2 linked regions of the Rattus norvegicus genome follow. The protein of the gene in region 2 interacts with the protein of the main gene of each other region in a biochemical or structural test. Links are inferred from orthologs where the notes say so. Each region holds a gene or a part of one and is shown on either strand. Other genes may lie near its edges.

What was found. The genes of interacting proteins can lie anywhere in the genome.
Region 1: the proteins of Nrip1 (region 2) and Thra form a complex in vitro, tested with the Homo sapiens proteins (4 studies listed by BioGRID). The link is inferred for Rattus norvegicus from reciprocal best matches to the Homo sapiens genes NRIP1 and THRA.

What each region holds. Positions count from the first base shown.
Region 1 is NC_086028.1:84,195,394-84,201,823, forward strand, and holds the start of Thra (thyroid hormone receptor alpha), read left to right. Parts: upstream 1-2,747; 5' UTR 2,748-2,879; intron 2,880-3,059; exon of another isoform or gene 3,060-3,214; intron 3,215-6,430.
Region 2 is NC_086029.1:28,461,878-28,468,552, reverse strand, and holds the start of Nrip1 (nuclear receptor-interacting protein 1), read left to right. Parts: upstream 1-2,140; 5' UTR 2,141-2,318; intron 2,319-6,675. UniProt on the Homo sapiens protein: Modulates transcriptional activation by steroid receptors such as NR3C1, NR3C2 and ESR1. Also modulates transcriptional repression by nuclear hormone receptors.

The DNA of each region.
Region 1 (6,430 bases), on a different chromosome or scaffold from region 2:
ACTCATGCCGGCCTTTAGGCTTTTCTGGAAGGTGAAGGAGCACCTTGAATCAGAGATAAGGGGATAAGAGGGGACGTACTGATGGGTGGCAGAGTGGCAGAGTGGTGGGGGATGGGATGTGGGGGAGATACATGGCAAGGAGAGAACAGGAGCTGGGGATGAACTGAAGTTGAGAAGAGCTAGAAGCTTCAGGAAACAGGTGGGCAGGAGGAGCAGGTGGTAAGAGGGATAATGCAGCACCAGGTCAGGTGCCCCTAGCATCTGGTGAGAAGCCAGCTCTGGAGGCAACTCGTCCTTCACATTGCCCTTGTCCAGGTCTGTTATCTGCCCATATTGGAAACTCAGAGAAAGGTGGCGATAGGGAACCTTTGTCTTTTAAAAGTTCAGTGTGACCCCCGACTGTATTCCTGGCTGGGGCTGGTTGAAGGTGGGCTTTGTAAGTGCTTAGTCGGCAAGATCTCTCCTAGAATTTAAGGAAGCAGCAACCTTCGTCGTTAGAGCCTTACATCAAGACAGATGTGGTGGGAGAATGACTGAACGAACTAGCCTGGTGTCGCATGACTTTAATGCCAGGACTCGGCACTCAGGAGGCAGAGGCAGGAGGATCACCGAGTTCCAGCCTGACAGTTAGGGCTCCGTAGTAAGTTAGTAGCAAGACCCTGTCTTTAAAACAGACAAACAAGCAAACCAGCAGGCATATCCAGTAAAACGAGGCAAACAACCAACCCTGCAGACCATGAAGAGAGACCACCTTAGTGCCCTGGGTTTTCTCAATCCTTGTCCTAGTCCAGATTACTGCTGAACCACAACTTCTGGGTCCTGCCTATCCAGGCAAACTATAATTGTATTTCTCACAACTTGAGATTATCCCTTAGCTCCTCTGGTACCCCAATCCCAGGAGACTACTTCCCCGTGAGCATGGACCCTGAGCCTGTACACCGCCTTGCTCCCCAGAGTTTCAACCAAATTTGATTATTGTCCAGGTGGCTTCGATTGGCAGACAGCCATCCTGCGTTGCCTCAGCGCACCAGAGAACACAGTGCTCTAAACTACAGCTGTTGCATGCCCACTGGGGGCCGGGACTGAGCAGGTTTATTTACTGTTTGCTGACTCTGCACACTACAGCCTCAATTCCCCACTGCAGCTGCCACTGTACAGTGCAGGCTTCTTTCAACCATTGTGTGTGTCCCTCCGTCCCCCCTTCCCATCACCAGTAACCGTAGGCTTCCCCTTCATTTCTTCCTCACCCAGCGTCCCTCCTTTTGTATCAGGAGCCCCACGAGAGAGGCATTCTCCCTTCTCCTCATCCCTTGCAAACCCTTAAAACCTCTTGTACGAGAAGTGACTCCGTTGGCTCAGGGTGTAGGTGGCTGAGACTAGGATGAGCAAGGACAGCCCGACTTGGATAGACTGTTGGTCAGCATCCCACTCAGCAAACGATTCTATCCAGTATGAACGGTTAGAAGAGCAGCTCCCCTGACACACTCTCTGGCTCCTCCCCAAGAGCAGGCTGTGGAGGCAGGGCTCCGCCCTGGGAGCCGTGGGAAGGCTATGGCCCCCGCTGGTAAAACTGGGCTAATGACAGCGGGGGAACCGGCGGGGCCAGAGGGGGGTGCTAGGGTAATTAGACCTCTGCCTGGCGGTAGTAGATCCCGAGATGAAAGGGGCTCTGGCGTCACTGGCAGGATTTTATGTCCATGAATGCAGGTGTGTGTGTGTGTGTGTGTGTGTGTGTGTGTGTGTGTGTGTGTGTGTCTCGCACGTGCGTGCGCGTGCGCGCGCAAGGGTCCGGAACTGGCATGGAGACCTCTCCTTTGAGAAAACGAGTCCACCTTTCTGCAGTCACTCCGCTCCTTAGGTTGGCTCTTGAACCATTTGGTTTTTGATGGTACAAACGGGAGAGGAAATATCACCTCAGTGAAGCTGGGAGATAAGGGGCTGTCTTGTCCTAGCCAGTCTTGTCCGCCCCCATTCCCCAAGCTTGGCATAGGAGTATATTGTTGGGGAAAGGATGGTGGGCAGTGAATAGAAGAGCTTCTATGGAGAACAGAGACGTTTGCAAGAGGAGGCAGTGGATCCAGCATTAATGTTAAAAGACGAGAGAGGAGGCACAATATGGAACCACCCTCCAAAAGGGCTGGAAAATAGGATGGTTGAAGTTAGGAGGATTTCAGAAGTAATCTGTGCAACTCTTGGATTTTGAGCTCTTACCCTGAAAGCTGTAATTCGTTCAAGGTCACACAGGGGAGTTGCTCCGAAAGAAGGGACCCGAACTCTGAAACAAACTACCCTTAGCATTTGGTATCTGGACTTCCTCCCGGATTTATAAGGTGTAGAGATCTCCTCCATCCTTCTCCCCTTACCCCAGGGAACAAACCAGAAACCCCCCCAATTCTCCCCGCGAGTGAAAGCTATTATATCTGAAAATGACATCTTTCTCAAAACGTTTCACCGAGCGTCGCTCCTGGACAGAGCCGCAGGGGGGATGAGGTGGGTGAGTCTGAGCCTGGTAGGGGCCAAGGAGGTAGATGTGCTGCGGGGCGGTAGGCCAGGGTCCCGGGAGCGGCGGGGGGCGAGGGGCGGGGACCGGCGGCTTCTAGGCGGCCTGCAGGGAGCAGCCGCGAGCCGGCCGAACGCGCGGAGCTGGAGCCCCAGCCGGAGCGGGGCGGGGGAGGGAGGAGCCAGAGCGGCCGCCGCCTCTGCCGGAGGAGCCGCGGGGCCGCCACACTCGCCCCCCGCCCCCCCGCGCTCACTCGCACTCACACCCCGGCGCTGGAGGCGGGCGGCCCGGGCCCCACCGGCCCCCCATGGACGCCCCCGGCACGGGGCGCTGAGACCCCCGCGTCCTTGCTCAGCTCGGTCCAGCGCGCCAAGCCGAGGTAAGGAGGAGGGAGCGAGGGGGCATTAATATGCAAATGCATCGCGATTGATTATGCAAAGCCGCGGGTCTCTGGCCAGCTCGGAGGCGGGCTGGGGGCGCCCAGGGGGTTCCCGCCGCCGACCTCAGCCTTTCCCGGCGCCCGGGTGACCCTGTCACAGCCCGAGAGCTAGTCACTTACGCCCTGGGGAAGGAAGGTGCTGTTAAGTGGTCGGTGGGCCCTGGGGTTCGCCCGCGGAGATGGCGTCTGGGCCTCCCCTTCGAGGGCCCGCCCCGGCCTCTGTCCGGCCGGTCTGCTGCGCATTCCCGGGATGGGCCCCGCTGCCTGCCGAAGCTCCCCCGCCCGCCGCGCCGCGCCGCGGTTTGTTTACGGTGTGCCAGAAGCCTGTCGTGTACCCCCCACCCCCACCAAGCCCCCAGCCAAAGAGACCGAATAGCCTTTGCAAAGCTGCCTCTAGCTACGGAGGGCAATGTGGGTGCGGCAGGGTGGGGGGGCTTGCATGGGCTGGGGGAGAGAGAAGCCCCCCTCCCCTCCCCACCTCTCCAGTTGAGCATGGCTTTCTGGTTGCAACACTCCTAATTGCAAAAACGCGGCGGGTGGGGTGGAGTCGGGGGGGGTGGAGTGTGAGCGTGTAGTAGTGGGGGTGTACTTGATGGTCCCTGGATGATTAGAATTGCTGGCCTGTGGTTGGGGAAGAGAGGAAGAAATGGACCCGTGGTGTGTGTGTGTGTGTGTGTGTGTGTGTGTGTGTGTGTGTGTGTGTGTGTGTACACGCGGGCACGCGCGCCTGTGCATGTTTCCCCTGTTTCCCTCCCTTTGCAACGTGTCTCTGATGCCCCTTTTCTGTCTTGGGCCCTCCCTTGTCCAGTGTGAAAAGAAGGCCTGGGAAGATGTCAGAGGCAATGGAGAGAGCCACCCATTTTAGGGACTGGAGGGGGAGCACACAGAAGGAAAGCCAGGGAGATGGGAGCCTGCCCCAGAATGCTGGCTCTGGACCCAAGAGGGGGAGGGGATGAAGGGGGCCATTGTCCAAGATGAAGGGGGAGGCAAAGGTGACATGCAGACACAGATATGCCTACACAGACAGCCACATGCACACTCGGGGACACCCAGGCAGATTCAAGGACAGGAGCTGCTGGACACACCCACATGGGGACAAGGGAAGAGGCAGGCCGCCACTGCATAGTGGAGCTCCTGGGGTGGGACACACCCACGGGAGACCAAGAGCAGAGCGGAGAGACAGCCTATGCACATACCCACGCACAGGTTCACAGGGAGCTGCTGTCACACACCGGGGTAAGGAGGAGTCGCTGTCACCCACACCGAGAAAGTCACTATCGAATGCATGCATGCATGCACACATGGCAATTTGCACACAGCCCCACGACCATAAAAGACTTTATCATTCAGAAGCACACACATGTGCACATGTGCCCAGTCGTGCAGCAGCCATCATTGCTTGCCATGACAGTCACTGTCACTCAGGCAAACAAACAAACAAACAAACCTGAGGCTACACATCAATACATTTGTACACAATTTAGCAACAAGTATTTTCCTGGATTCATCTGTGGAGCTGAGGTTCTGTAGACAATAAAATCCCTGCTACGGAGGAAATCACCTTCATCTGTGTTAAAAGACTTTTCTGCAAAAATGGTGCAAAGCATGCATTCCTGATAAAATAGTTTCATTTCTGTCACTGGCCATACCAGTTACTAGATGGCAGGCTCCTTAAGACATGGGAGAATCTCTAGAAGAGCCTGGATCCCACCCAGAGCCTAGCACAGTATGTGCTCTGTAAACACTTGTTAATTGATTGACTGTGGGAACTCTAGGCACAGGTGCACTTTTTTACACCTAGTCTCACAGGTGCAGGGGCCATGCACAGGGCTCCGACTGAAGTCACAGGTCCCACCTGGCAGTGTCCAGATAACCCTGCAGGTTGACACATTGTAGCTGGGGGCGGGAAGGCGCTTAAATGCACATAATCACAGACTTTTCTCTTTGGCTTCTTTCTATCTTTTAGGCTCTGGCACTGTGTAGCAATGGGCTCCCCCCCTCCGCCCCCTCTTTAGAGGGACAGGGGAAACAAGAGCAAAGTGGGTGCAAGGGGGTTCCAGAGGGCCGAGTCATAGGCCTGCAGCAGTGTCCAGTGACTTCTAGCAGCTGGGTTTGTCCTGGTTGCTGGGGGAGGGGTGTCTGGGGAAGAGTTGGGAGTGGCTCTCTGGCCCTCTCATCCCTAGCCTGTAAGCCAGTGTGGACCTAGCTGCCTCTGCTTGGGGTCATTTGGCTGGGCCTTTCCTGGGGACCCTTAGTTGTCCCCAGCTGAGTGCTAGCCTCCCACTGCGAATCCGCCCCTTTTCTCACCTCTGGCCCTCCTGTCCAAACTTGGAAGCTTTCCTTAGGAGGCCGTAAGCTGGCGAGTGGCTGAGTGAGTGAGGTGTATTTTTGACTTGGAATTTCTCTCTAACTCCGTCTCTCTCTCTCTGTTGCTGTCTTGGGGTGTCTGACTCCTGCTGTTCCTCCGCCAGTTTGTAACGTTCTGTCTTGCCCTGTGCTCCTCTCTGTTTCTGCCACGGCCTCTTTTCTCCAAGCTGGCAACAACATTCTTCATACTTTTCCAGTTGTTAATACTCAGATTCAGGCCCTCTGGCCCGCCCAGCCTTCCTCTGGGGTCAGTAGGAGGTTGGGGGGGGGGCGTGCTCAGCTGGCTGTTCAGGACATCCTGCGCTTCCTCAACGCCACAGCTGTGGCTGGCCAGCAAATTTTGGGGGCTGGGAATGGGGAGGGAAGGGGAATAGGCTACTGCATGTGTTGACCCCTCAAGCTGGCAGGCCCATCCAGCCAACCTTGGTCAATTCAGTGAGAGGACCTTAGGTTCAAGCCACAGCTCTTTAAGGAGCCAGCGAGGAGGCTCCTCCCCTGACTGGACCCAGGCGGGGTCTGAATTAGAACTCGGGGCCTTTCTTCACATCCCTAGCTTCTGAGACCCACCTCAGAGATGTCCCGACAGCTGTGTCTTCTTTGCACAGCTTCATGCTTGGTTCTGAGGGTACAGCTGTTTAGACTGTGCCAAATTGGGTGAGGGGAAGACCGTAGCCCACACAGGAGAACAGAAAGGGTGGCTCTTTCAGGGAGGGAAGTTGAACAGAGGCTACTGGTACAGGCGCCCCAATGCCTGTGGGGGAGAATGCATGGTGGGGGGGACTAACATGCCTGACTACGCACCCTGCAGCCTTGGCCTGCTTGGATAAGAATGCGTTAGTGATGGTTGTTGTAGAGTACTCCTAGACTTCAACAGAAAGACAAATGGAGGTTTGTCACAGGGGCTACGGGGCCAGACGAAAGGACAAGGTATCCTTCTAGCAGGACCCACTGCGGGGTTTATGTTGTCATGGTTAAAAGCGGGATTTTGTTGTTCACTTTGGAGCTCAACTGCCTGGATTTGAACCCTAAATGCCTCCCGATAAGTGTGTAACCTTGAGAAGACTTTGATTTCCTTCTTGCCTTATCCGTAAACTAGAGATGATAATATCTACCTGGTTTAGCTT
Region 2 (6,675 bases):
GCTAAAAAGTCCTAGATGACCTCCAACTTCCCACTTCCCGTCTCAGCCTCCCAGTTGATTACAGCCTTGTACCACTGTGGCTAACTGGACGCATTTGTTGAATCTGCTATAATCTACCACAAAGATGACTTTTAACAAAACTGACATTGGGTTTTCAAAACAAAACCAACAACAACCAGGCCCAATAAAATGAGATACATTTAGAATGTCTTTGTATAATATTAAAAAAAATTTGAAGAGCTAAGTTACAATCATTCTGGTCATTTAATTTGTAATCATTTGCTTTGTGTCAATCCGGGATATATGCTGTCCAAAAGATAATGGTGCCTGGGACAAGTGCTGCCTTTACTAGTTTGCTTTAAGCAGATTTTGAACAGTGGGAAATGCACGTGCTATGCTGTTACATGAGATTTACACATTAGATGAAAACAGATTGCAGAGGTGAATCTCTAGGAGAAGAGAGAGTATTTTAATATGTACTATCAGCATTAAGCAAAAATACTTCTAGCATGCGCTCAGGACTGAGCTAGGGTATAGCTTTATGAAGAATTAATTTGAAAAATTGCCTTTACTTTAAAGATTGGGAACATACTCCAGACCCTGCTCATTTGAAAAATCGGAAAAATAGCTATAGAGCTATTATATAACAGTAAAGAACACAGTGGGGTCCCTTGGATAATTTTTGGTTTCGGTGTACATCAATAACTGCTTCCGAAGGCTACCGAAATTCCTAAGAATATGAAAACGTGTGTATGAGAGTAGACAGCTTCATCCACAAAATTGTCTTAGTCAGTAAGTATTTTAACACAGGCATAGCACTTCAGAGTTTAGGGTGAACCAAAGATGTACTTTAGAGTGGTTTTTTTGTTTTTTTTGTTTTTGTTTTTGTTTTTTTTTATGTCAAGCGAAAACAACTTCTGCAAATGATTCTTTTCATGGCAAGATGCTAGAGTCAAAAACAAACGTGACATCTGGGGTAGGGGGAGCGTTAAAAGGAGGCTTCACAAGTAACATATGAAGGGAGTAGAGAGAATAGGATTTTAAAGCAGAAAACACAAGGAGAGGAAGAGATCACGGTTTCGTCTTTTTCTCTCCTCCCTCCACTTTCTAGCCTCACCAATCTGTTAGCCCCCCTCAAATTCAGAGGCGGGTTCAGCAAGACCAGGCTGCAGGAAACCCAGGTTTCGCTGCACTGCCACCCTGGCTCCGTGATGTAATTGTTATTTATTGAGACTCTGAACCCAGCAGAGCTGCTTAAAGAAGTGCCAGCCCATCTTCTAGTCCTGTTGGGTCAGATCCTTCCTGGGGGTGGTGCAGATTGGCGGGCAGACCCTACTGGAGACTTCGCAGTGACAAAGCAGCAGAAGATAAACCAGGTTCCTGGGTCCTGCGTCCGTCTAGGGAGCTGAGCTGTGCACTCCTCAGGTCTCCTTCCCAGTTTTCCGCTTGCAATCATGCCATATTTATTACTGGGTCCTACTAGGTGCTGAGGATGGGGTCAAAATGACCTAGAGTTATAGCGCCGTGGCTTCCGGAATTTAAGCGGGACACAGATTTCAAGGAGGTGGAAAATTGAGGGTGGGTAAAGGGCTCCAAGAGAACGCGTATTTGTGGGTTGAAACGGGAGAAAGGGAGACATTTAAGGTGCCAGCCCTTAGGTGGGGAACCTGGGGTAGGGTTAAGGCGCCCCGACTCCCCTTTGGTGCCCCCAGCGTTTGCCCCCGCAAGGGTGACATGGGCTATCGCCTGGCCCCTAGCGGGGAATCTGTCCAGGCGGCTGGCTGGACGCGGCTGGGAAGCCAGGGCGCCGGCTCGGGGAGCAAAGCACCCCCCTTCTCCGGTTCAACCGCGTCCTCCCTCTGCCTTCAAGGCCGCTCAGACCCGGACCCCCACCCGGAGCACCGGCGAGAAGGCCTGCAGACGCCGGGTGGGCTCCCGGGCTCCGGCAAGCCGCCGGGTGCGCGCTCCGCCCGGGTGACAATGGGAGGGAGGGGCAGAAAAGGGTTAAGAAACTTGGCTGAAGAGCTGAATGGCGTGGAGCAGCGAGGGGAGGGACCCGGCCGCCGCGAAGTCGGCGGCGGAGGGAGGAGCGCGGCTGCGGCGGGCGGGCGGCGAGCGAGGCGCTCAAAGTCAGCCTCGCAGACATTGCAGCAGAGCCCCGAACTCGGGAGGCGACGGCGACCGCGGCGCAGGCGGAGGACGAGCCGGCCCCAGCCCGCCGGTGCGCAGCGCCCGTGGCCTCGCGCGGCCGCAGGGCACGGCTAACCTGGGAAGGAGGGAGCGACGCGGATCGGCGGCCCGGAGCCGCGGCGGCCTCGGTGAGTGGCGATCGCGGCCCGGGCTCCGTGCGGAGCTCGCTGAGCGGACGCCGAGCCGCCCGGGCACGGCCTGGGTGCGCGGCCCGTGGAGGCGGCGGAGGCCGGGGGAGGCCCGCGGGGGGCTCCAGGGACACGGATCCCGGGGACAGCGCGCCGCCGCGCCCCTCTCCGGCTCTCCCCGGGAACTCGCGGGCCCGGCCGGCGCAGCCGCCAAGTTGTGGAGTTCCCAGCCGCGGGCTCGTCCGTGCCAGCCTTGGCGCGAGGGGCGCAGCCGCCCTGGGTGTAATGCGCCGGGACCCACGCGGGTGGCCGGATCGCGGGGCCCGGGTCGAGCTCGCCCGCCCGCCCGGCTGCCCCCGTTGGCCCCGAGCCCCGGGCGCTGGCTGCAGCCCCGCTCGGTCCTGCCGCCCAGCGGTGCTCGCGGTGGCGCCCGCGCAGCTCCCCGCCTATCGCCGGTTTCTCCCTTGCGCGGTGCTCGCCGATTCCCGGCCGGGAAAAGTGACTCGGAGAAGGGACAGCGCTGAGCCCCAGGCCCGGCCTGCTGGGCACGAGCTCCCCGCCTGCCGAGGAGGGCGAGGCCCCTTGCACCCGAGGCCTCAGCCCAGTTCCCCCAGCATCCGAGAGGGGTTCACTCGGGTGAGCCTGGTGAAGTCCTGAGAGACTGCTCTTCTCTCTGGTGCCACTGTCCTCCTTACTACTATTGTTGCTAGAAGAAACCCTCTTCCGCGGAAACATTCCCCTAGACCCTCCCATCCTTCCCAAAGTAGTTTCCAAATTTTAATCAGGAGTTGATATTCAGACGGAAGGAACAAAGGAATCCACTGTGTTTAAAAGGCGGACAGGCAGTGAGTCTGACACATGTTGATCTCTGAGGCATTCCACGAGTTTCTACCTTCCATCATGTCAGAAATTTAATTGGATTCTGGCGGTCGCAAACGAAGTATGAAACGTTAGGTAATTTTACGTTAAAATACTTTACTTTTTTAAATTAATGGATCATTTTAGTTAGAGGGAAGTCCGGACATTGTTAGGTGCAAGAACTTTTAACTCTTTTTTTTTTGATGGCACCAGGCTGGAGTTTGTCTGCTCTTGTAACTGATTGTGACACTGAGCGAAAACAGTGTTTTTAGAGAAAGAGAGACAGTCTAAAAGTAAAACAAGATTGGAGTGTCTGTGTGTCTGTCTGTCTGTGTGTATGCTTAAACGATGTGTAGTCTATCTCTTGGGTTTTGTAAAGCAGGGACTTCGGTAATTCATTCTTTAGAGTTATGAATTACATTGAACCCGCTTATTAGTGAATCATGGGTTTAGCAAGTGGGCGGCATCTTCCAGATGCAATTATCCAGTGTTTAATCATCAGGTTGCCACCTTTGTCTAAGAGACGGAGTCGACTTTTTAAGCAAACGGTGGGTGCTTCACATGCATGGCCCCTAAGAGTGGCTGCAGCCTGGGAAAATGTTGAAATCTTCCCCTTCCAAGTGAGTTGCCCTGGTTTGGCCCAGCAGTTTGTCCATAGGGTTTAATTGATCCAACAGGAACTTTCTGTGTAGGACTTAGTAGAGACAAAGGAGAGTCAGTCATGCCGCAGGCAATACCTGCAAACTGGAGCCTCACCCCAGCCTGTTCTATACTGTACTGGGAAGACTCCACACTTAAAGTACAAGGAGCGAGAAGAAAATATCCTTAAAAAGTATACTTCAAAACTCTAAGGAGGGCTTCGGTTGCTGCTTATATACAGGTAGTTGAAAACCAGCTTTCATGCCTACGAGAAGACTTAGAAATCTGAGTTTCCAAACTTTGCAGAACTTGGATTTTTGTAATTGAGATACCTGAAAATAATTGTGGGTTAGCAATGGAGAAATGTTTGTGGATGAGGCCAGGGCTCCTCTGACTCCTCCAGTTTTAAGAGCAAAACGTTGTGATTAAAAAAATAACCTATACCACCACCTAGAGTCTGTTTGTTAGTTTATTGCTCTTGGAGTTTGCTTACATTGACGTGTCCCTCGTGGTTACTGTATAGTCAAAACAAGATTAAGGAATTCAGGCTTTTCAGAGGCCATCCAGGAGAACACTTATTTAAGTAATGCATAGCAAGTGCCAATTTAAATTATCCACGACACTTTCAGAACCGAAAATTATGACATATCAACTCAAGTGGGCCAGTCTCCGAAAGATACTAATTCAAAAGAAAAAAAATTTAAAGACAGCTTCTTTTAGCTTGTGCTCCAAGGTGGCCCTGAGTGCAAAAAGATTTCCTGTGATACGAGAGATTCAAGAAATGTGACAAAATAAGTGTTCTCGGTGCCTTTTGAGGTTTTTTTTTGGGGGGGGGAGGGCGACAAAAGCGATGACAAAAGTATAGAGAGAGGGATGTTGCCATTACCAACATTTTAAACACTGAGAAGGTTAGAGAGACGGTAGACCGTCTTGGAAGCTGGGATAAGGTGTTTGGGAATACAGTCAGTGAAACAGTGATAACCTGTCCTACTGGAGGTTTGTGAGTGGCAAAGCAGTCTGTTAAACAGGAGGCCTGAGGGCGGCAGCCTCTACCCTTCTGCTTATCACATTGTCCGAGGAGGAAGTAACGCTCCTCCTCTAACCGTCTAGCCTGAAAGATGGCCTCCAAGATCTTTAATTAAATATCAGTCGAACAGAGAGAACTAGAGCACTGCCTTAATTCTGTCAGACATCACTATTTTAGAACATTGAGGACAACTAAAAATGAATTAACTCATATCTGAAAGCAGAGTTTTGAGGAAGGTGACAGATGAGGCAAAATATGTCAGTCAGTCTAATGGAACACATAGGGAGATCAGGATAGATATGCCCTCCTTGGCTCTCTAGACAGTTGAGAGAAAAGGAGATTATTATTAATCACATGCGTTTCATCGCAAAGCAGCAGCAGCAGATCATGACACGGAGATCTTTTTGAATCAGTGTGGCTTAGGACCTAGGAGGTTAAAGGTGTTAGATTTTTCTTTTTTTTTCTTTTTCTTTTGGTAAGTCTGAAGATGGCAAGCCACTCCCGTCTTTCTAGACCAGCAATAACACTTTGATGTATGAAGTTAAAAGATCACTCAGCTAAAAATACGTTTAAGGCATTTAAATTTTAATCAGGAAAAAAAAATTGCTCATTTTAAACTGCGACGAGTCGAGTCCCTTTTCTCTTTTATGTTGTAAAATGTAGGCTTCCTGACACGGGTTTTTAAAGTGTGGGCTGGTCACTTGGGTTCTCTTTCCACCCCCACTCCCTCTCCCTTTCCCTCCCTCTCACCTCCCCTCCCTAAAATAATCAAGTACCATATCCTTCACCATTTTCCCCCATCCCGTGAAGACTGCTTTAACTTGTTGACTTTGTGTGTGTGGGAGGGTGAAGTTTATCCTGTACTTTTCCACCTTTCATTTCAGATGACTGATACCCCTCATCTATGGGCTCCACATTTTCCAATGATGCCTCACTCACGCAGGGATGATGACTGAGGAAAAAAGCATTTGCTGTCCTTAGCAAAACCCTGGGCGCCCTAGTCATCCAACCGGAGACAACATTTTTATTTAAAATATCTTGACTTCCGTTGAAGAGTTAATGAATTATCTTTGGACAGAATGTGGCAGGGTCCTTCCTGGATCTGTGAATTAAACCATTTGGTTGTAGTTGTTCAAGAACCCAGGGAAGGGCATGCTCATTCAGTAGTAGTTAGAGAACAACAGTCGGAAACCTAACGCCAGAGCACACTGGGACCAGAGGAAGGTAAAAAGCCAGGCTCGTCAGGGGAGGAAGCAGCCAGTGGGATGGACAAGCGGTGAATGGAGAGAGACCCTGTTTCCCATTCCTGTTTGCATCTGATGCTGAAGCGAGGATGCGAATTGCTGATGGCAATGGATTCCCTTCTGTGAGGCCAGCAATATTACGTAAATCGTGATTGTTCGAGAGGATGAAATGAGAAGTTCTCCATTTGTGCAGATTCACATTTGGTTGTTGAGTGTTAAGTGTATCTCAAGTAGAAGGTCAGAATTGGGTACCAGAATAGAACCAACCAGGAGGTCCATCCTCGGGAGGAAAACGAACATTATCCCCCTTTCCTTCTGTCTGTCCTTCTGTAAGACCTGGAGTTTTATAAGTCTTGCTGTGGACATGGGAAACTGAATTTTGAGGCTTGGGGCTCATGGGGCTCTTAACAGGACCACACGATGGAGATGACTGGGCGTACCTGACTGCAGGGAGGACTTTAAGTATATTGTCCTGTTGTTCAAGGAGGGAATGGACAGCAGAGAGACCAGAAATCTCATCAGGGTTTCCTTACAAATATTGACATAGTTACCCATCACTTTCTCTCTTTCGTTTTTCTTTTTCCTTTTT